4 linked regions of the Arabidopsis thaliana genome follow. The protein of the gene in region 3 purifies or fractionates together with the protein of the main gene of each other region. This does not show direct contact. Each region holds a gene or a part of one and is shown on either strand. Other genes may lie near its edges. The genes, in order: IMD3, IMD1, AT5G36210 and LIN2.

Region 1 (4,776 bases), on a different chromosome or scaffold from region 3:
AAAGGTCAGTGCCTCAAACTCGGCTTAAGGTTGTGACAGAGATAACTCACACACCAGTCTCTCCTCCGAAGTTCTTGCTAGTGCAAGTGAGTAACTTTGACTCAAATTGTAGACCTCCGCCTGGTGGCAATTGTCTTTCAGGAATTTAATATCCTTGTACGACTTCGTCTTGCAGGGTTAATCTCTCAAGCAGCAAAGCTAGGTGCACAAGGTGTGCCCTCATTCCGGTCATTTTCTTTTGAAGAGTTAAAGGAAGCCACAGACGATTTCGATTCATCACGTTTCTTAGCTTTGGAATTATGCAGGAAAATGGCTAAAACAGAGGGCGATGTGTACAACTTTGGATTCATACTTCTGGAATCTCTGATAGGACCAGTACCTACTACAAAAAGGAGAGGCCTATCTTCTCAACGAAATGGTATCATATAGGGTAAAGAAAAGAAGCAAATCTTCATCATTGTTAATAGCTGTTGCTGCAATGTTGTATTTGCAGACGTCATTTGGGAGCCAAGACTGTCGACAGAAAATAGGAAGTCCAACGGTCCTAACAACAAGCTCGCAGGAGTCTTTACCCAATTGCCATCTCAATCGCCAATAAATGTGTTTTGCTTGAACCTTCTGCAAGACTTCCTTTAAAGATGTTCTCTGGAACTTACCATATGCAGCTCAAATGCAGTCTGCCGCAGACGCTGAACGCAAATCTGATAAGTCGTCGTGAATCCAAAGGCTAACCTGATGATTGATAGTTGTTTTCGGATTTATAAATGTTATGTTTTATAAGTTTGGTTTTTCAGTAGAAAAATGTAATACTCTAGCGGCTAAAAAACATAGTTTCTTGTCTCTCTTGAAACTTTATTCGTTTAACAAATATTGATTGAAGAAGATGTTGAGTTTTGTAGTTGGCGAGAACTTCTCAATCTTCAAGAACAAGGTACTGAGGCAGGAGACTTGTCAAATGTTCTTGGAGAATTTTGTCTTTGAATTGCAGAATCGATCCCAAATATTTTATTATTATAAAAGCTACAAGAATACAGTTTCTAATACATGTATTAGCAAAAAAGTAACAGTAAAACCAAGGGCTACACACTTTTCTTAAACAGGAACTTTGGAGTCCACTGATTTGAGAACCTCCTCACCCATTTCCTTGCATCCCACCAGTTTCTGCATTTTCAAAACACAAAAAGACTTCTTTAAGTATATTGTCATTAACTTATACAAAACAAAAGACAGAAATCATCATACACATACATTTCCGGGGGAGTAGATGTCTCCGGTTCTGAAACCTTTGTTCAGAGCATCCACGACCGCGTCTTCAATCATCTTTGCAGCCTTTTCTTCTCCAAGTCCATACTTGAGAAGCATCGCCGCACTGAGAATGGTGGCCAATGGGTTTGCCTTGTCTTGTCCAGCTATATCTGGTGCTGAACCATGTATAGGTTCAAAGAGTCCAGGTCCCTAGTTTTCATCACAAGTTTAACAATCAATATATGATAATAATAAACAGAGGAACCTTGAAATATTAGATTTAGTCTTACTTACCGATTCACCAAGACTTGCAGATGGAAGCATCCCAATGCTACCAGTGATCATTGAAGCTTCATCAGACAATATATCACCAAAAATGTTATTGGTGACGATTGTGTCAAACTGCAATAATGTTTTTAAAAATGCCGTGAGTACTACAAGTTCCACTTCTGTGTTAGCTTAATCAACGGCTAAGCTTTATATATGCGCGAAGATCACCTGTTTCGGGTCACGGACAAGCTGCATCGCAGCATTATCGACATACATATGTGATAGTTCAACATCTGGATATTCAGAGGCTAAAGCTGTTACTCTTTTCCTCCACAATATTGATGCCTATACGAAACAAAACAAAAAAATAATTGTATAACGAAAAACACACAAGAGTGGAGTGGAAAAACAATTCAAAACATACATCCAAGACATTGGCTTTGTCAACAGAACACAGCTTGCCACGCCTTTTCCTAGCAGTCTCGAATGCAACACGAGCAATTCTGTCAATCTGAAGAAGATAAAGCAATGCATTAATACACATACATTGTCACAGAGCAGCAGATTGTGAAGAGTAAGTAGTACCTCGTGAGCAGCGTAGATCTCTGTATTAAAACCGACTTCTTCGCCATTTTCGTTGATCGTAATGCCTCTTGGCTCTCCAAAGTAAATACCTCCAGTGAGCTCCCTTACAATCATCATATCAACACCTTGTGCTACTTCTTTCTTCAGTGTGGAAGCATCAACTAGCTGAACAAGCAAAAACAGAAAAATTTGAGTATATTTACAACTAGAAAGCAAAGTGATAAGCAAATCAATACCTGTGGTAAAACTGTAGCAGGTCTCAAATTAGCAAAGACATTGAGATCTCTTCGAATGTTAAGCAGACCCATCTCAGGTCTCAGATGTTTCTCATTCTTGTCCCATTTGTACCTGAACAAAAAATCATCATAAAGAGAATAAATTTGCTGAAGAAACAACACACACACGCATTACACATACCCTCCGATAGCTCCAAGAAGAATGGCATCAGACTGTTTAGCAGCAGTGGAAGTTTCCTCCGGCAATGGAACTCCGACCAAATCCAAAGCTGCTCCGCCGAAAGGCATCTCCTGGAAATCAAACTCTAGTCCTTGGAGAAATCCAGCTTTCTGAAGCACATTCTTAGCAACAGATATAACTTCTGGACCGATACCATCGCCGGGAAGCAGAGTGATGTTATACCGTTTTTTCACCGGTGAAGCGGCGGCGCACCTAATTCGATACGGCGCACGAAACTTATGATCGGTGAGAGAACTGTATCTTCCCGGTATGATCTCCAGACGGATGTTAGTTTGCAAAAACGCCGCCATCTTTTTTTCGAGTTTAGGGCACCACCATCGGCAAAAACTAACCATTTGAGTATACTACAGAGACCGGTTATCTCTGGTTATTTGTTAACCTGATTTTGGTTCAATGTTCTCATTAATTTCAATTTTAAGTTCTATCAGCTTTTTGGACTCTCTCATGTCCACCATCCGTTCACTTGGCCGCGTTCATATAAACCAAAAACCGAACAACAACAAAAATTCGAAAATTCTCCGGCGACACCAACAATGGGAAGGTCTCTAATATTCTCTGGAAACATGTCATTGAGAATCTCTCACTTACCCAGATCATCTCTTCCGCTGCAAAACCCAATTTCAGGCCGGACAGTGAACAGAACTTTCCGATATCGGTGTACGAGGATTTTGTCTAATAGCTTCAAGTCCACAACGAGACTTCAAACCAAAGCTGTTCTGTCTGAGGTTTCTGATCAGACGCGATATCCCAGAATCGGCGCTAAAACCACCGGAACTATATCTCCGGCACACCTCCTTGAAGTCGTTGAACTCGCCGCTAAAACCGGCGCTGAGGTTCGAAATTTCATGTCTGTAGAATACAATATCTGAATTTATGTTTATTGGAAACAAAAACTCTTGATGAGACTTGAAATTGTGTTCAATGGTACTAGAATCAAGTTCTTGGGTTCGTAGGGCACAACTGCACAAGGAGAATAATAACAAAACTAACTTGAATTGAATCATCTGGTTTGTTAGGTGGTTATGGAAGCTGTAAATAAGCCAAGGAATATTACTTATAAAGGTCTCAGTGACTTAGTAACTGAGTAAGGACTTCTTCACCTTTTAAAATTGTTAGCTTGAGGTTTTAACTATGTTCATGTTGACTTGATTGGTTGAAGCTATTAAAGTTTTAGTACTTTTGATGAATTTGCAGTACTGATAAAGCAAGCGAGGCTGCTATTTTGGAAGTAGTGAAGAAGAATTTTAGTGATCATCTTATTCTTGGTGAAGAAGGAGGTATCATCGGCGATTCGTCTTCTGATTACCTCTGGTGCATTGATCCTCTAGGTTTAGCTCTCTTTACAAATCTCATTGCTTTCTTTTCATGTGTTTGTGTGGAATCTCTGAGATTTTTAGTATTAGTCTCTTAATTCCTTTATGCATAGATGGAACTACAAATTTTGCTCATGGATATCCCAGTTTTGCTGTTTCCGTCGGTGTTCTGTATCGTGGAAATCCCGCCGCTGCTTCTGTGGTAAATCCAATATATACTTGCACAAACCAGCTAATGCTTGTTAGTTCCTATTTGCTGATTCTTTGGTCAGTAGGATTAACAACAAAATCTCATCATGCAGGTAGAGTTTGTCGGTGGTCCGATGTGCTGGAACACTCGAACCTTTTCTGCAACTGCAGGTACTATGTGACAAGCTTATGTTTGGCTATATATCTAAATTTTGTCTAACTAGTTCACTTCTTAGGTGGTGGAGCATTGTGTAACGGGCAAAAAATTCATGTCAGTAAGACCGATGCTGTAAGTAACTTATCAAGAATCCAATTTTAAGTTTCGACATGGTGTGTTCAATGGTTTTGGTTTATTAGATATTTATTCGGGTTTGAATGAAGGTGGAGAGAGCACTTCTTATCACAGGGTTTGGTTATGAACATGATGATGCATGGAGCACTAACATGGAACTGTTCAAAGAGTTTACTGATGTGAGTCGGGGAGTGCGAAGACTCGGTGCTGCTGCAGTTGACATGTGTCATGTTGCACTTGGGATTGCGGAATCATATTGGGAGTACCGTTTAAAGCCATGGGACATGGCTGCTGGTGTTCTTGTAGTCTTCTTCATCCTTCTTGTTGTTTTTTTCTTACTAAAGTACTTAAGTTGTAGAGCTTAATCCATGTCAGAAAATGGACACAGATAGTTGAGGAAGCTGG
Region 2 (4,726 bases), 9.7 Mb from region 3:
ATTTTGCAGACAAAGTCAGAAACCCACAAGTCAAAGTATGCATCTTTTGTCCTTGTATAGCAAAACTCCATGGCATTTATGAGAATCTAATCCAAACTTTGAGATTATGCAGGAAAAAGGCTAAAAGAGAGGACGATGTGTACAACTTCGGATTCATACTTCTGGAATCTCTGATAGGACCAGTGCCCACTACAAAAGGAGAGGCTTTTCTTCTCAACGAAATGGTAACAAAGAGAAAAAGCAAAAAAAAAAAGCATCATCATTGTTATTTGATTGAAACAAATTTGGTTAATAGCTGTTGCTGCAATGTTGTGTTTGCAGACATCATTTGGGAGCCAAGACGGTCGGCAGAAAATAGTAAGTCCAACAGTCCTAACAACAAGCTCGCAGGAGTCTTTATCGATTGCGATCTCAATCGCCAATAAATGTGTTTTGCTTGAACCTTCCGCAAGACCTTCCTTTGAAGATGTTCTCTGGAACTTACAATACGCAGCTCAAATGCAGTCTGCCGCAGACGCTGAACGCAAATCTGATACGTCGTCGTGAATCCAAAGGCTAACCTAATGATTGATAGTTTTTTCGGTTTTCTAAATGTAAAGCTCTATAAGTTTGGTTTTCAGTATAAAAATGTAAGACTCTTGAGACTAAAAATCATAGTAGCTTGTCTTCTCTTGAAACTTATTTCGTTAAACAAATATTGATTGAAGAAGATATTGAGTCTTGTAGTTGAAGAGAAATTCTCAATCTTCAAGAACAAGGTAAGTAAAGGCAGGAGACCTGTCAAATGTTTTTGGAGAATCTTGTCTTTGAATTGCAGAATCGATCCCAAATAATTTATTTATTATAAAAGGTACAATGTTGCATGGATTAGCATATAAGTGACCGTAAAACCAAGTGCTACACAAACTTTTTCAAGTGCTTCAAATCATCAATAAACTTAAACAGTAGCTGGAACTTTGGATTCCACTGATTTGAGAACCTCCTCACCCATTTCCTTGCATCCCACCAGTTTCTGCATTTTCAAAACACAAAAGACTTTTTTAAGTATTTTGTTACGAACTTGTACAAAACAAATGATAAGAATCATCATGCACATACATTTCCAGGGGAGTAGATGTCTCCGGTTCTGAACCCTTTGTTCAGAGCATCCACGACAGCGTCTTCAATCCTCTTTGCAGCCTTTTCTTCTCCAAGTCCATACTTCAGAAGCATCGCCGCGCTGAGAATGGTGGCCAATGGGTTTGCCTTGTCTTGTCCAGCTATATCTGGTGCTGAACCATGTATAGGTTCAAAGAGTCCAGGTCCCTGATTTCATCACAAGTTTAACATTTCGCATTAGTTTATAAACAGGAGGAGCCTTGAAAGATGTTAGTTAATTTTGTTTACCGATTCACCGAGACTAGCAGATGGAAGCATTCCAATGCTTCCAGTGATCATTGAAGCTTCATCAGACAATATATCACCAAAAATGTTATTGGTAACGATTGTGTCAAACTGCATTGTTTTAAAAACACCGTGAGTACTAGTTCCACTTCTGAGTTAGCTTAATCAACGACTAAGTTTGATATATGTGCGAGAAGCACCTGTTTCGGGTCACGAATAAGCTGCATTGCAGCATTATCGACATACATATGTGATAGTTCAACATCTGGATATTCAGAGGCTAAAGCTGTTACTCTTTTCCTCCACAATATTGATGCCTACATGAAACAAAGAAATTTGCATTTCGTAAAACACACAAAAGTGGAAAAACAATTCAGTGAACTAACAGAACGTACATCCAACACATTGGCTTTGTCAACAGAACAAAGTTTGCCACGCCTTTTCCTAGCAGTCTCGAATGCTACACGAGCAATTCTGTCAATCTGAAGAACATAAATCAATGCATTAATATCCATACATTGCCAATATTGTCACAGAGCACAGTGTGAAGGGTTATTACCTCGTGAGCAGCGTAGATCTCTGTACTAACGCCGACTTCTTCGCCATTTTCATTGATCGTAATGCCTCTTGGCTCTCCAAAGTAAATACCTCCTGTGAGCTCCCTAACAATCATCATATCAACACCTTCTGCTACTTCTTTCTTCAGTGTGGAAGCATCAACTAGCTGAACAAGCAAAACAGAAACATTTGAGTTTATTTACAACTAGAAGCAAAATTCAAGTGCTAAGCAAATCAAAACCGAAGATACCTGTGGCAAAACTGTAGCAGGTCTCAAATTAGCAAAGACTTTGAGATCTCTTCTAAGGTAAAACAGAGCCATCTCAGGTCTCAGATGTTTCTCATTCTTGTCCCATTTGTACCTGAACAATAATCATCCAAACCTCAAGATCAGAATAAATTTGGAAGCAGATTGCTAAAGAAACAGCACTCACACACATACCCTCCAATAGCTCCAAGAAGAATGGCATCAGATAGTTTTGCAGCCGTGAAAGTTTCCTCCGGCAATGGAACTCCAACCAAATCCAAGGCTGCTCCTCCGACAGGCATCTCCTTGAAATCAAACTCCAGTCCTGTGATACAAAAGCAAAGACACAATCATCTACTGGCTAAGCAAACACACTCGTTGTTTCCAAAAACCATTGAGAAAGAGAAAGAACCTTCGAGAGATCCAGCTTTCTGAAGCACATTCTTAGCAACAGAGATAACTTCTGGACCGATACCGTCTCCGGGAAGCAGAGCGATGTTATACCGTTTTTTCCCAGGTGAAGCGGCGGCGCACCTAATTCGATACGGCGCACGAAACTGATGATCGGTGAGAGAACTGTATTTCCCCGGGACGATCTTGATCGCATTCAGACTGATGTTCGTTTGCAAAAACGCCGCCATTTTTTTTGGGAGTTAGCAAATTTGAAATTGTGTCACAATAGTTATATAACATAAAGAGTTTGGTACTTAGATAGGTGTGCACGTTTTTTGAATTACGCCATTAAAGATTTGTTTTTTTAAATGGCTTAAATTATCCTTTTTACCTATAAACTGGCTCACCAGCTAAACCATGCCATTGCTTGTTTAGGAAAAGAAGAAGAAGAAGCGCCACTATAATTGGGCCTTTACCAAAGATTGGCCCATTTTAAAGTCGAAATATTGGGCCGCTCTTATAGCCCATCAAAGTACCAGGAGAAGTTCTTAAAAGTTAAAACGTAGTAGTAGAGGAACAATAACGGCTGATTATTTAATTTTATGATCGGATATTCGGATTTTGTCAAATCGTCTGGTTAGTCCAAGGATGAACACGAACTGTTTTTAACATAATACTTCTATAACAAAAATAAATTTAAAGTAACTAAATTAAAGCCTAAATGACCAAAGATTCTTAAATATTTGCAAAAAACAGAAACGAAAGGCGAGGCAAATCCACCACACCACGTGAGAGTTATGACCAATTTTTGATGTTTTCTGAATATGATACGTATCATAAAAAGTGTGTTCATACTTCATAGGGGATAGGGATAATAGTATAATACTATATTGTTGAAGTGTGGACACACAAATAATATGAAAGCAAGACTTTGTATATAAATTATTTGGAACATTGTGTACCCCCAAATTATTAATCATTATCCAAATTTAGCATGTCTCGAGGTTTTTTTTCTTTTTTTTGTATTTTTGACTACCGGACACTGTGTGCATGCAGGGTGTGAAACGAAAGCGTACCGATGTAGAATTTTTTTTTTTTTTTTCTTTCTTCTTTGAGTTCGAGAAGAAACAAGTAACGGAAACTGATGTCATAGTCCATTTATCCGTCCCTACAGCATCTACAATCGCCTTTAACAGTTTCTTCTTTCGTCCTATCTTCTTTTTATCACTCCACATTAAAACAAAATGATATTATTACAACATTTGTATGATTTTTTTAAATATATTTTTTGCTTATGAGTTATTATAGATCTCAGGAATTTAACATTTTTCTTTTCTTAATTTTGTTTAGATTGCCTTGCTAGTTGCTATTACTATTCACTCATTAAATTAATGTGTATATATAGGATATGAAATTGTCTCCATCAAGTTTTGTGTTTTATATATCTAGGCTGTGTAATCGATACAAATATACAAACCAGAGATCTTGTTTTTAAAAAAAATTAGTCAGCTCTTTTCTAGACTAAGCTATTGGATGTATCTCCTTTACTATTCTTTTCTTCACATTGAAAACATATGGAAGTACTTTTATTATCATGAGATCTTCTATTTTTTTTTTTCTCTTTTATAAAGATTATTTTCCATTCATCTCAGTTCCACGTATTATTTTAAATGTTTATCATAATAACCTCGCTCTCTCAAAAAAGTTAGAAATCATGGCATGGTCACACTGATCATCCCTCCACTTATATATAGAAACTTTAGTAAATGTTGTATCGACGATAGCAGTGGATGATTCACCACTTCTAGAAACTATTCATAAATGCTTGTCTTATTTTTTGTGCATGATTCAATTCTTAATTTATGTTTACACACCATAAATTGTTTTTTTTTCTAAATAAGTTTTTGTCTATCCATAGTTGCTAACGTGGTTTTGCATTTTTATAAATAGCTAATAATTCCATTTTCTATTATCTTATCCGTCACCCCTTCTCTCTATATAAAACCATTTTCACTTTCCTATAAACGTACGTGATAACCCCTATATATATCTCAATGGCCGGTTCGGTTATGGTTCCGTCCGTTTCAATCGGTTTAGCCTTATCTGTCTTAATCTTCTTCGCTCTTTCCCTCAAGACCCTTGAAG
Region 3 (8,174 bases):
TCTGAAGAAATAAACTAAACATATATTGTTCATTTATTTTTTAATAACCAAACATTGCATTTAAAAGTTAGTCTTTAAAAATAAAATTATTAATTAATAAAATCTTTATTTAAAATAAATGACAAATGTTTAGAATTTTTTTTTCTAAATAAACATATTTATTAATATTTATTGTTTCATACCAAAATTTAATATCCAAACACATTAGTAAATAGGATAATAATGAAGCAATTAATAAAATAATTGAATGACATATGAGAAATGTATATATTATTTTAAAATACGAATTTGTTTTTGTTTTGTGCACCAAGAAAAAATACTAATTCTATAACTTTTTTACACTCAATTAATGGTAATGATGAAAAATAAAATAATTATTAGTGAAATGGATCTTAGAAAAAAGGTAGAAAATTGATAATAATTAATTTATTAAAAGTATTTTGTGAAAAAGTACATGTAAACTTGTAGAGAAGTTTTAATTGTTTTGGGGAGAAGATTAAAAAAAACTTTTAATAATTTATTAGGAGAAAAAATAAGAAAAATTGAAAATCTAGTTTATGAGGCTTTAAAAAAGAAAGAGAATAAAGAAGAAAAAATAAAAAAGACTTTGAGAACTTACAAAAAAAATTAAGTAGAAAAAGCCTAATTGGCAAAAAAAAAAGACTTCAGCCTACTTTTAAAGTCTTGAAAGTCAGTAGCCAATCACCCCTTACAACTACATGCAAGAATACAATTTTGGAGTACTTTGTTGCTTCAACGGTAGTAAACCTGTGGCGAAGTATTGGAGAGCAATTAGCAGCAAACAAGGATCAAAGACTTAACGATTTGTCCTGAATGGTGCATCGAAGAAGACAAGGCCCATACTGATATCGTATTTGTAATACCAACTACCGATATCATATCACTGACAGCTTCATCAACCATTTCGATGATAATGACTAAAGCTGAAAAGACATACGTTAAGCAACATTGGCCCAAACCAACATTGACCTTAACACTGTGGTTATTTGCCGAGCCACCTCCTAGGCATTCCCATTCTAGTGAATATAGAAGGTTTTGGACTTTTGATGAACAAATTATCCGAAAACGTTAGTCCAAGCATGTATTTTCTCTAAATAATAAAAAAAAAGCAAATCTTTTCCAAACATATCTATTTAAGCATCGTTTTCTAAGTGTCGAAGTTGTCAATTTTCAAAGGAGTGATGTCATCAGCAACTTTGAACCCTCCAACCACTCGGGCAAAGAACACCATCTGTTGCTCAAGTGTGTATTTGATGTTTTCCGCCTGTTAATCAATGTATATAAGTAAAGTAATCCACTGTTAATCCTTATGACTTGTTATTATTAATGCAAGTGATCAAAAGCCTTACCTTGCGAAAACCGTGTTGTTCTCCTTCGTACTCGACAAGAGCAACAGGCAGACCTTTTTTCTTTAATGCTTCATAGATTTTACGTGATTGATCTGGAGTTACAACCTGCAATTTTTTCAGCATTTTAAACCAATCGTTAAGAATTTCGTATAGAAGTGAAAGACATTGTCTTCGCAAATGGATAACCAAATCTCGAATTTAAAAACTATCAAGAATCCAGAATATGATAAATCTAGTTAAGACTTCTGTTACTAGATGCATTCAAGAACTGCCAACAAAACAAAAGAATAAACCAAGAGCGGAAAATATAAGAACCTTGTCTTCTAGTCCTTGGAAAAGGATGATGGGACAAGAGAACTTATCGACGAAATTGATTGGTGATCTCTCATAGAAATCTTTTTCATCTCCTGCAATTACATACTCAAGAATTTTGGTAACCGATTTACAAAAACAAAAAGCAAAGATAAATGCTTTCTTCAATGCATTTGACTCACCAACAAGATTGTCGATATAACGGGATTCAAATTTATGACCTTCTTCTTTCAACATTTTTAAATCAGCCACCTGCGTTAAGAAAAGCCAATCCAAACTTCTATGAATTATCAGTTGTTTATAAGGTATTCATCCTGCATCATGCATTTGAAGAGAATTCGGTGGATTGTGAAATAGTATCACAATATATAAAGATAAGGCTAGAATTCATTTAGCTAAATGTTTTTCACTGATGCAATGATTCTGTACTCACTCCGTATAAGGACGCTCCAGCTTTGAAAACATCCCTGAACGCCAATGATGCAAGAGTTGTGTAACCTCCTGCAGAACCGCCAGATATACAGAGCCGCTTAACATCTGCCTTGCCAGAAGATACCTGCCCAAACCAAAAAAGTTTAGGAAATGCTTTCAAAGTCGTTCACATAAAATAGGCGAAGAAAGAACATACCAAGTATTTAGCACAGCCACAACAGTCATCAACGTCGACTATTCCCCACTGCCTTAACAACCGCTCTCGATACTCTCGACCATAACCTTCAAAATAATGTTACACTTTGTCACAATAAACCCACGTGTGTGCCCACATGGTGAGAATGGGACATCGTAACCAAGAAATCTCAAGACGAAATACTTTAGCAAGACTAACTATAAAGATGAAAAGATGCAACCGTACAACTGTAGCGAATTATGGGAACTTGTAGGTAAAGTAGAAGAAACAACTTGGAACCATAAGAACAAACCTGTGCTTCCACCATAATTGACATCAACAAATGCCCAACCTCGACTTGTCCAGTATTGGATATTCAGATTTAAGGATCCACGTGATTCAGCAGTAGGTCCTCCTGTAGATTCAGATTGTCAACAAAAATGATCGATGTGCCATGCATAGCTGATTGCAATATTTATGTTACAGCTAAAGTACATACTTGAAACGAAAACATGATCTTAAGATGAACAAGACTGAAACTGAGGAATTATTTTGATTAAGTTTTGAAAAATCGGGATGTCGTAAGTTTAACATACCATGACTCTTCACTAACAACGGAGGTTTCTCTTCCATGCTAGCATTGTAGAGCGGATTGGTTGGAGGATAAAAGTATGCATAAGCGTTCTGACCAGGAACCTCTGTTGGAAATTCAATCAACTCTGGCACGCTGAAGTAAGCCTTGTACTTCAAAACATCGGGTGACGACGACCAAACAATCTCAGAACTGAGTGCTTTCGTCTTATGCTGATCCAGTGTTACCTGTTGATAGGGGAAATTATAAATCTACTGCTACTACTTTTATATTAGACAACTTGTGCTCAGCTAAAACCTTAAATAGGAATCATTTTTACCCTGGCAACTGATGGTGGAAGAACTGCTGATGCTCCCTCAACATAAAGGCACTGATTTCCCAATGTCTGAAAATGGAAGCACAATTTCTCATTACTTTCAGATTCAATTGGGAATCAATTGAAATGGTTTTGCAAAAACTACAGAAAAATAAATATTACAATGCTGTCAAAATCCGTTAAAGGAATATCGAGCAGAGAACATGATCCCTGTGAATCATCTACAATGCCTAGATATGACTTCCCTTTCTGCCTGCATTCAGGAACAATAAATTGTTATCAAAACAGGTAAATCAGAAAATGGTTGAAAGTATTTGAATTTTGGTATTACCTATAGCTGCATGCAATTAGGTTCTTCTCTTCAGAACACTCGATTATCTCGTAGGAGTTAGTACCGAAAATCCATAGTGGTTTCGCAAACTCACCGTCGAGAGGATATACAGAAACAACCTCATTGGTACTCTCAATCTGTGACACATCGAGAAAGAGGAAAAAATTAAATAAGGAACAAGGTAGTCAACAGTAAACATGTGTCCTACATTGGGAATTTCTTTGTGCACCAAGTAGATTTAAGAAAAGCTTCAAGTTGGTGGCCACATATCAGTCTCTACCCAAGAGTTCTAAGAACTTAGCAATTAATACAACTAACAAAACAAACAGCTACCATTTGGGATGTATATGGTAAGCCAAAAACAAAACTCAAACAGTATGTGTCTAATGTAACAAAACTCAAACATTATGTGGCTTTTTTTTTATAGATAATTTTGAAAGAATGAGACTACAATCTTCTCCGAGAACAAAGGTTTGAATTTTAAAATCTGTCTAGTGAAGTTCGTAAAAAGCCAAGAAAAAATGTTTCCTCTATGCTTTCATAAGTGACTAAAAAACTACTATCCCTATTTCAAATCTAAAACTAATTCTCAGCATTATAGAGCAAAAGCACACTATGGAATTTACCAAATGTGGCTATAATTGGCAAATGTGAAGAATGTTTACCCATTTATGAATATTCCAACATCCATTCTTTCTGTCAGTTACAAAAAAGAGTTCCCCTGCACGATAAGTCAGAGAGTCTCAGGTCAATGGAACCTATGAGAAATACTAAAGCTTGACAGGCTTAATTACAATATGAAAAAATATAATTTATTCACCAATTTTAGAGCTCCAGTAAAACATCTAATGGTTTGGAGAATGATACGTGAAGGTTCATATCAGAGAACTATCATGATGACATCCATTAAAAGACTCTAGTTTCAGCCAAGGAGTTTTTAATAGCTAAAAATTATAAAGATAAGAAGCATATGCAAGGAATTTGTAGATCAACCTTTTTCTCAGTAAAATTCACAGTCCTTGTCACTTGGTTAGAAGAAGAAAGATGAATGCAAAGAGCGGAAACAACAAGAGAGCAGAGAGAAAAAGAATATCATTTTATGGAGAAGACCCTAGTTTCATCCAAAACAGAAAAAACTTATAAGAAAAGCTCAACTGCTAAAAGTATGAAACAAATAGAAAGTCAGAAATCCAAGGTCAGTGTCTAAGAACTGCAAATCAATCTTTTCCCAGAGGATTTCACAATCCTTGTAATTTTCTGCATATTTTTCATTTAAGACAAATACCTCTTGATGACCACTTCGGCTCAGTGGGTGATTCGACGTATTTGGGATCACAACCAGCAACACATACGCGCTTATCAATATTTCTGCAGAAGGGTGTAACTTTGATTAATATTTGCAATATGCAAAGCATTTGAAAAAAATTGCAAATGCTTACCCGCCCTCGGAAATGTACCCAACCCACAGCTCTGCTTTATCCCATGGCATATTAGGGTGACTCCATTCAATCCATGCCAATCGCTCACACTTGGGATCCAACCGTGGAAATGCATAGAAATCATTGCCACTTACGAGTACTTTTGGTTCTGGATCTCAAATATCAGAAAGAACACATATGAGTGTCAATGATCAGCTGTAATAAGTTGGAAACTTAGAAACATGTACTACATGGCACTACTGACATAACTCACATCCCCTATAGACTCTTTCAATGGGAGTAAGAATACTTCTTTCACTAAAGTTTGATAATCTACCTTCAAGTGTCTCTCCACTTAGATTAACCTCCACGATTGTTGTAATTGGGTTTGATCTATCCTGGCGACCATCTATAAACACCAGTCAAACAATAACATGTAAATCTCGATAAAAACACAATCAAACATCAAGAGAGTCACCAATACTAAACACTAGAGACAAACCAACCTTCCCTAACAGTAACATAACGGTTAAAGCGTGAATCAAAGACTCCATCTGCATAAGTAACAGCTGGTGTACCATAATCTGGAGTAATTGGCTTTGGAGATGAATCTACACACATCAACCATCAAAACAAACAACATCAGAACTTGCCAACAAGAAATTTACATAGCTAGAATCAGTGAAGAGGTTATCTATCACCTTTATCAGTAATGTCTTGCTTGTACAATCGCTGATCCTTGTAATTAGAGAACACAAGTGTATCATCTGATGAAATCTGGAAAGCACCACCACCGTATTCTTGTGTTAAAGTTCTCACAGCGAAGTCTTTTGGAGTAATATCAATTGATGTTTCTCCTTGTAGCACCAAAACTCCTCTCCTTCAATCATATCAAGCTCGCAATCAAATTAGGGTTTTCATTTTCAAAATCAATCAAAAGAAGAAGAAGTAATACCCGGATTCGTTAGGGCGAGACTCGAGCAAGACGAGACGGCCATGAGAATCGACGGCGGTGCCGCCAAGACGCTTTGAAGCTCCGGAAACGATGTCGGCGGTGATTGGAGATTTCCAGGAGCCATAAGGAGCGGTGGTTAGAGGAGTCTGAGCAGCGTCGGGGGAAGAAGAAGACATGGATGCGAAGGAGCGAAGTGGTTTGAGTGAGAAGCGATTGAATCGTCTGATCGAAGAAGAGAAGGAACGAGAAAGGAAGAGATTGTGAGCGGAAGAAGAAGGCAAGCGAGTGAGTGAGAATGAGACTAGGTGATTGAGTGAGGTCAACAACAACAATGCCATTTATTTACTCATCCACTCTTTGCTTGTTTTCGCTATAGGTTTTTGAATTATATGTTTTTTTGGGTCATCCAAGTGGCCGCGATCCGAACACTTCACCAGATCATTCAATCGGTAGGAGCAACGGACTGTTTGTACAAAGGGCATGGACGTAGTCAACACGAGCTGATGACTCGCGCTTACTAAGAATTCCTCGTTGGAAACCAACAATTACAATGATCTATCCTCATTACGATGAAATTTCAAAAGTTACCCGGGTCTGTCGGCCAAAGTGTGAACTCGTTGAATACATTAGTGTAGCGCGCGTGTGACTCAGAACATTTAAGGACATCACAGACCTGTTATTGCCTCAAACTTCCTTGGCCTAAACGGTCATAGTCCCTCTAGAAGCCGTTTACTTTTCTTATAATACTCGATTGCTTTTCTATAAATCTGCTAGTAACACTTATTAAAAATAATTAAGATAGCCATAATAATCCATCAAGATTTTACATGTAGAGAGAATCATTGATTTGCATTAACATGTCACACATCTTTTATTCGTAGTTTCAACAATTTTAGGAAATAATCTTATGTAGAAATGGACGAGCTTTGCAAATAGCTTTCAAAGGAATCGCTTTGGGTACAGTATTCCCAACTCCTTCCTTCATATCCACTTCCACATTCCCAACTCTCTCCCATTCAAAGCATTGTATCAATGACCCGAGAGCTAGTCCCACGATTCGTTGGGCCAGACCCGATCCAGGACACGCTCTTCTACCTAATCCAAACGCCAGAAGCTTTTGTGCTTCCTCTTCTTTCTCAAACCGCTCTGGTTTAAAGCTATCCGGATCATCCCACGTGTTTGGATCCCTATGTATGGCCCATGCATTCACCAACAACGTTGTACCACGTGGCATATCGTAGGATCCTATCTTGCAATCTTCTGATGCCATGTGTGGGACTAGCAATGGTGTAGCTGGGTGTAGCCTAAGGGTCTCAAGGACAATGTTCTTTAGATATGGTAGCTCGCTAAGATCTGCTTCTTCGATAAGCCGGTCTAAACCAACCCGGTTATCGATTTCGTCTCTCGCTTTAGATATTACGTCAGGATGGTTAAGCAAATTGGAAAGTGCCCATTCTAGAGTGACTGCTGATGTGTTAGTCCCTGCTATTACCATTATCTGCATTAACATAATAACATCAGACAATTTATCTTACTTATAATCAAAGTTAACAAAAGATCTAATAATTAATAGAAAAAATAAAGGAAGAAGAAATAAACCAGTATGATGCCTTTGATGATTTGATCAGTGTAATACTCAATATCAGATTTTTGGAGGACAAGCAAATGATCGATCATTGTAGTACCGGTTTCTTGTTGCCCACGTTTATCGTCAATGAGACCTTGTAAAAACTTATCTGTCTCCTCTCCTAACTTTTTAACCCTATTTTCATAACTTGAAAACAGTCTGAGGATGGGGACGTAGTCAACGGCGTTGCCTGAACTCGTGTTAGCCCCAACATCTGCTACCAACTTACGGACACGCTTTGCTTCTTCCTCATCGGTTGTTTCTTCACCGTAGTATCGTTTTCCGGTCATCATTCTCATTATGTTGTTGAATGTCAAGTCCATAAGCATTGGTTTCAATTCCACAACAGTTTTTTTGGTTCCTGCAATTATTAAAAGAAAAAGGAAAATCGAGAACCAAACGAGAACCAAAAATAGAGTAGTCGAGCTTTTCTTCATTACTTTGTAAAATGTTTTTAGAAATCTCTATTCTAAAAATATTGACGTAAAACGTTCTAAAAGTAAAAGAGTTTTAAGAAATCTTCATGGTACGATTGACGCCCACAAAGACTCAGTGGTCAATATAATTAGCACTTAAATAACACCAAAAAAAATTGAAAAGTTGACTAGTCTTTATCAACAAACTTCACGACGATGAAAAAAACACA
Region 4 (4,880 bases), on a different chromosome or scaffold from region 3:
AAGTAAAATACTATTCAATGATTTCCTCTCTATATCAGAGTTGTTCTTTAATTTATTTAAATGTTTATAACCTTATAACAGTGTAGTCAAAGATTTATCATATATGGAGCTATGAACAGGGGTAGTTTGGGAGTTATGTTCAGATGATAGATATGAAAGTTATCTAAATGGGCCCCACGAGGCATGTGGGCCGGGGTGAGCGTAACACGCAAAAGGAGTTTGTGCAACGGTCGATAAAACTCTTTGCCGCAACTTTCCATGGCTTATTAGTGTGTAATGAATAAGACAAAAAACATTAAAGTAGTCGGGAAAAATAAAATATTAAAGTAAATATAAAAAATTGATGAACCTCATATTTAGTTCTTCATTTGGCTTTGTTTCATTATTAGCTCTTTTTACAATAAGACAAGTGAATCTATTTTTTTTCTTTTTAAGGATGTTATTGTCTTTGAATAATTTTAAATTTGTACCCTATTTATAGATTAAAGTATTGATTAACACTTACAGGCGTTAAGCACTATTTCTACATAAAAAAAATACACTGATTTGCATAGAATTCTGTACAAACAAACAAAAAATAGAAATTTATTGCTTTATTTGGGGATTATTAAATGATTCAGGGCGTAATAACGAGAGAGATGAAAAAAAAAGGAAATTATGACAGCTAACACTAAGAGGCTTGATGACAAAAAAAAAAAAAAAAAAAAATACTAAGAGGCCTAATGGCTTACATTAGGCTGGGCTGATCACTGTTTCTTCTCTTTGGAAAAGCTCAGATTTCAACACTTTGAGCAATAAGTTTTTGTTTTGGGTTCTTAAGGAGGATATGGATTTGGATTAGAGTCCGTAGATAAGCATGTCACTTGTGAAAAAGTTGAATGCACAAGTTGTCTTCGTTGCCATTGGCAAAAGAAAGAAACGAAACGACAGCGTAACAGACGCATGTTAACATGCACATCACAAGGCTAGAGTATAACTTTCTTTTCAGTAATCTAATCCTCTAAAGCTGCTCAAAACTTGCAAGAAACCAACTGTTTGCATTGGTAAGTTTTGACTTTTAACAACACTGCTCTTAGTTTGTCTTCATTGCCATCGCAAAGAGAGAAAGGAGATGATGTTAACATGCACATCACAAGACTAGATTTTGACCTGACCTTACACACTCTCTTTCTCCATCTCTCCAGTTATCTAATCCTCTAAAGCTGCTCAAAACTTACATGAAACAATGGAAATAAACTCACTCTTCTCACAACAATGGGAAACACAGGCTAGATCCACTCCTTCGGGTTGATGCAAGCATCCAATAGCTTCCACTCTTCGGTCCCCTCTTCCGGTTTCTGCACTCACAAACACCATTACTACATTGCCATATTCAATTGAATTTAGACCAAGTTTCTTCACAAATGAGGAAAGAACTTACATGGTCATATTCCCATCTTGCTGAAAGCGGAAGAGAGACGAGAATGCTCTCTATTCGTCCTCCTGTCTTCAGACCAAATGTCGTTCCCCGATCATATACCTTCCATCCATCATTACAAATACATTAGTGAACAAGGTTCATAACGAAAGATTGGAGAGATGAGAGTGAGAACAGAGAAAAAGACTAATGTTTTGGTCATAGTACCAAGTTGAATTCGACATATCGCCCTCGTCGCAACTGTTGCCATGCCTTGTGCTGCTCTGTAAATTCCATGTCTTTCCTTTTCTCTACTATAGGTATATAAGCCGGCACCACTGAGTTTGCGCATTCTGTAAACACCAATTGCTAAATTAGTCTACCAAGAAACTAGACCAATTAAAATAAATCGTTTGTTGTAGATTGAGGACAATCAGTCCCTTACCAGTGGCAAATGACAGAAGCATTTCCTGATCATAGTCATTAAGATCATCAAAAAATATCCCTCCAAGTCCTCGTCTCTCATCACGGTGCTGCAAGCAAAATCAAAGATTTCTAAGAAAAGTTTTCAAAGCCCTCACACTAACAATAGGCTTCTGAACGTCTCTCTAAGCAGTTTCTACCCTCTCAGATTTGACTATAACATCCCTAAACACAACTCAAAGAATAAGGCCCTCAGTTCCAGAAAATGCTTCAGGATCTCACAAAACTTACCTTGATGTAAAAGTAGTCATCACACCACTTCTTGAATCGGGGATAGAAGGAAGGGTCAAATTTGTCACAGGCTTGCTTTTGAATCTACAACAACAAAGAGCAGTTTATATAAAAGCAACTCCATGATCACAAAGCTCATATCTTTAGAACAAGGAATAAGGCTCAGTACCGAATGGAAATGCTTGACATCTTCTTCAAAGATGTAAGCAGGAGTGAAATCAGTGCCACCACCAAACCACCATTGCCTTGGAGCTCCAGGAACATCTGCGCCGTTGAAAATTAAAAACTTAAGACTGTTGTCCAAACAAAAGACAACAACTTTACAATCTCACTGAGACTTTAGCTTTTTTACCCTTTGGAGCATCTGTCTCGAAATAGCGATAATTGAAATGCAGGGTTGGGGCAAAAGGGTTCTTGGGATGCAAAACCTAGAATCACACAGAAATCCGTAATGATAAAACATGAGAACCTCCAAGAATCGTAAAATTGAAGGGAGAGATTCATTACCGAGCTGACTCCAGCAGCGAAGAACGGAACAGGACCAGGTTTCTGATCAGAAGCTGAGCCCTTTGCAGCTCTATAAGCTTCAGGAGGCATAACACCATAAACCACAGAGACATTAACACCAGCTTTCTCAAAGACATTCCCGTCCTGCAACACACGACTGATTCCACCGCCACCACCAGGTCGAGACCAAACATCTTCTTTAAACTTAGGACCGCCTTCTATAGCTTCAATTGCATCACAAACACTGTCTTGAGCAGCCCTAATCATAGTCTCGAAACGAGCCCTGACGGAAGAAGAAGAAGAAGATGGAGTGACGTCATCAGAATCCCTAAGGAAAGTAAAGGGTCGTTCAGTTTCGGGAACTTCTTTCTCAATTGAGACTGAACATCGCAAGGCGAGATTAGGTTTATTTCTGATTGGACGGGAGAATCTGAGAGTAGAGGGATTGGGAGAATAATGAAGACGATGAGAGGAGAAAGGAGCGAAAGTAGGAGAAGAGAGGAGAGTCGACGAGTGAGAAGCCATGTTTGATCCGAATTTGGATTTGATGCTGAAGAAGAAGATGATGATGGAGAGATATTAAATGATAAGAAGTCTTCGTCGTCCACTGATTTTGACCGCTCTTCCTTTTTATTTAACAGCTCAAGGTAAAAGAAAACACAGTTCCAGTCTTCTCAGACTAAACCACTTCTGAATTATTTAGCCGAAACCAAACCAGACACGAAATTAAAATTGCGGTTTAATTTGGTCGAACCGAAGATATTGATACACAATAGGCTCTTATCCTTCTTAACGGGCTTAATTGCCCAAATTAGGCCCAAAACGATTAGCCGGTTTACGGCACTATGCTATTTTGATGTGGATAAATCATGGTCATGTAATATATCTTTATCTATCGTTAGAATCTGTGATAAACAAAACAAAAGTGTATTATAGATTCGAATCCTATCTAATTATTATTTCAAATAACCAAATAGATGTAATTACAACCGTCTTATTCTTTCCAAAAAATAGTTAATCGCTGACAAAAGAAAATCCGGTTGGGCCCATCACGTTGTCTATATATTCATGATCATATAGAGAGTTCAGCCGCTTGACCTGCGAGGAATTCAAGAAAACCCTGCTTCACAGAGCAGTATTACACAAGAGACGAAAGAGCACTTTTAACCTTAGCAATTATATAGGTACCTTAGCTAGTTCTTCTTCGAATCTATACGATCGATATGAAGATTCTTCCGGTTGGATCACGGTTTTGTCCGACGGATCTAGGGTTGGTGAGGCTTTATCTTCGAAACAAGGTGGAGAGAAATCAGAGCAGTTTCATAACAACTATGGACATCCACCAAGACTACCCTTGGCTTCTTCCTCACGTAAACAATCCTTTGTTCAATAACAACGAGTGGTACTACTTTGTTCCGCTTACTGAACGAGGTGGCAAGATATTAAGCGTACACCGGAAGGTAGCCGCAAGAGGAGGAAGCGAAGGCGGCACTTGGAGAAGCAACGATGGGAAAAAAGAGATCAAGGACGGACACATGCAAAAGGGTGATGGGTTACGAGCAGTCTTTCACGTACCACAGGAGAGTGCATGGAAAGCTTGTCAAGACCGATTGACAGAAGATGGAGTATTCTCTTCACTAGAGTGATGACCTCCAAAAGGTTGTCTTGTGTCGGATCCGATACAAGAAAGAGGCGAACGTCAACGAGTTTGGACTCGTTAACCATCAGGCTCATCAGACTCAGGTGGCGGAGAACACCAACAACATCTTACGGAACCAAGTAGTGTAAGAAGAGGATGCTTTAACCGGTTTTGCTGATCAGCTTGAGATGATGCTAGAGGGACAAGAAGACCGTGAGCAGAAAGAAGAGGCTGATTTAACCGGTTTTGCTGATAGCCTTGAGACGATGCTAGAGGGACAAGAAGATCATGAGCAGCCAGAAGATGCTGATTTAACCGGTTTTGCTGATAGCCTTGAGACGATGCTAGAGGGACATGAAGATCGTGAGCAGCCAGAAGAGGCTGAATTAACCGGTTTTGCTAATGATGACCTTGAGACGATGATGCTAGATGGAGAATAATCTCGCGAAGTTACTCAACAACAACAACAACAACAACAACAACAACAACGTCAAGAAGATTGTGACGTTACTCAAGAGCAAGAAAAAGATGATGTGATGGTACTGATAAACAATCCTAATGATGCCCTCGCATTGGGGAATTATGAGATTATTGATCTAACTAGGGTTGATAAATGATACGACA

What was found.
Region 1: the proteins of AT5G36210 (region 3) and IMD3 fractionate together in Arabidopsis thaliana (co-fractionation; one large-scale study listed by BioGRID). This does not show direct contact.
Region 2: the proteins of AT5G36210 (region 3) and IMD1 fractionate together in Arabidopsis thaliana (co-fractionation; one large-scale study listed by BioGRID). This does not show direct contact.
Region 4: the proteins of AT5G36210 (region 3) and LIN2 fractionate together in Arabidopsis thaliana (co-fractionation; one large-scale study listed by BioGRID). This does not show direct contact.

Annotation. Positions count from the first base shown.
Region 1 is NC_003070.9:11,141,751-11,146,526, forward strand, and holds IMD3 (isopropylmalate dehydrogenase 3), read right to left. Parts: upstream 2,968-4,776; 5' UTR 2,913-2,967; coding exon 2,518-2,912; intron 2,449-2,517; coding exon 2,337-2,448; intron 2,266-2,336; coding exon 2,101-2,265; intron 2,027-2,100; coding exon 1,940-2,026; intron 1,861-1,939; coding exon 1,744-1,860; intron 1,648-1,743; coding exon 1,540-1,647; intron 1,456-1,539; coding exon 1,249-1,455; intron 1,162-1,248; coding exon 1,093-1,161; 3' UTR 711-1,092; downstream 1-710. Other genes in the region: IMPL1 (myo-inositol monophosphatase like 1), read left to right, coding at 3,111-3,410, 3,594-3,661, 3,772-3,905, 4,004-4,092, 4,193-4,250, 4,316-4,368, 4,461-4,673, 4,760-4,776.
Region 2 is NC_003076.8:4,574,323-4,579,048, reverse strand, and holds IMD1 (isopropylmalate dehydrogenase 1), read right to left. Parts: upstream 2,927-4,726; 5' UTR 2,830-2,926; coding exon 2,601-2,829; intron 2,514-2,600; coding exon 2,384-2,513; intron 2,304-2,383; coding exon 2,192-2,303; intron 2,108-2,191; coding exon 1,943-2,107; intron 1,866-1,942; coding exon 1,779-1,865; intron 1,701-1,778; coding exon 1,584-1,700; coding exon of another isoform or gene 1,582-1,583; intron 1,495-1,581; coding exon 1,387-1,494; intron 1,306-1,386; coding exon 1,099-1,305; coding exon of another isoform or gene 1,087-1,098; exon of another isoform or gene 1,013-1,086; coding exon 938-1,012; 3' UTR 647-937; downstream 1-646. Other genes in the region: AT5G14210 (Leucine-rich repeat protein kinase family protein), read left to right, coding at 10-35, 113-224, 322-546; MPL1 (Myzus persicae-induced lipase 1), read left to right, coding at 4,636-4,726. UniProt on the Arabidopsis thaliana protein: Involved in both glucosinolate and leucine biosynthesis; catalyzes the oxidative decarboxylation step in both leucine biosynthesis (primary metabolism) and methionine chain elongation of glucosinolates (specialized metabolism).
Region 3 is NC_003076.8:14,247,034-14,255,207, forward strand, and holds AT5G36210 (alpha/beta-Hydrolases superfamily protein), read right to left. Parts: upstream 6,402-8,174; 5' UTR 6,240-6,401; coding exon 5,902-6,239; intron 5,827-5,901; coding exon 5,648-5,826; intron 5,558-5,647; coding exon 5,453-5,557; intron 5,356-5,452; coding exon 5,284-5,355; intron 5,116-5,283; coding exon 4,968-5,115; intron 4,897-4,967; coding exon 4,814-4,896; intron 4,250-4,813; coding exon 4,194-4,249; intron 3,666-4,193; coding exon 3,529-3,665; intron 3,451-3,528; coding exon 3,360-3,450; intron 3,267-3,359; coding exon 3,201-3,266; intron 3,109-3,200; coding exon 2,886-3,108; intron 2,705-2,885; coding exon 2,603-2,704; intron 2,397-2,602; coding exon 2,311-2,396; intron 2,239-2,310; coding exon 2,116-2,238; intron 1,935-2,115; coding exon 1,865-1,934; intron 1,778-1,864; coding exon 1,686-1,777; intron 1,476-1,685; coding exon 1,371-1,475; intron 1,286-1,370; coding exon 1,169-1,285; 3' UTR 446-1,168; downstream 1-445. Other genes in the region: CYP81D1 (cytochrome p450 81d1), read right to left, coding at 6,794-7,399, 7,501-7,889.
Region 4 is NC_003070.9:868,034-872,913, forward strand, and holds LIN2 (Coproporphyrinogen III oxidase), read right to left. Parts: upstream 3,276-4,880; 5' UTR 3,143-3,275; coding exon 2,618-3,142; intron 2,539-2,617; coding exon 2,463-2,538; intron 2,375-2,462; coding exon 2,280-2,374; intron 2,195-2,279; coding exon 2,111-2,194; intron 1,930-2,110; coding exon 1,842-1,929; intron 1,750-1,841; coding exon 1,625-1,749; intron 1,520-1,624; coding exon 1,421-1,519; intron 1,338-1,420; coding exon 1,269-1,337; 3' UTR 820-1,268; downstream 1-819. Other genes in the region: NAC006 (NAC domain containing protein 6), read left to right, coding at 3,841-4,179, 4,259-4,360, 4,412-4,649, 4,707-4,873. UniProt on the Arabidopsis thaliana protein: Key enzyme in heme biosynthesis. Catalyzes the oxidative decarboxylation of propionic acid side chains of rings A and B of coproporphyrinogen III.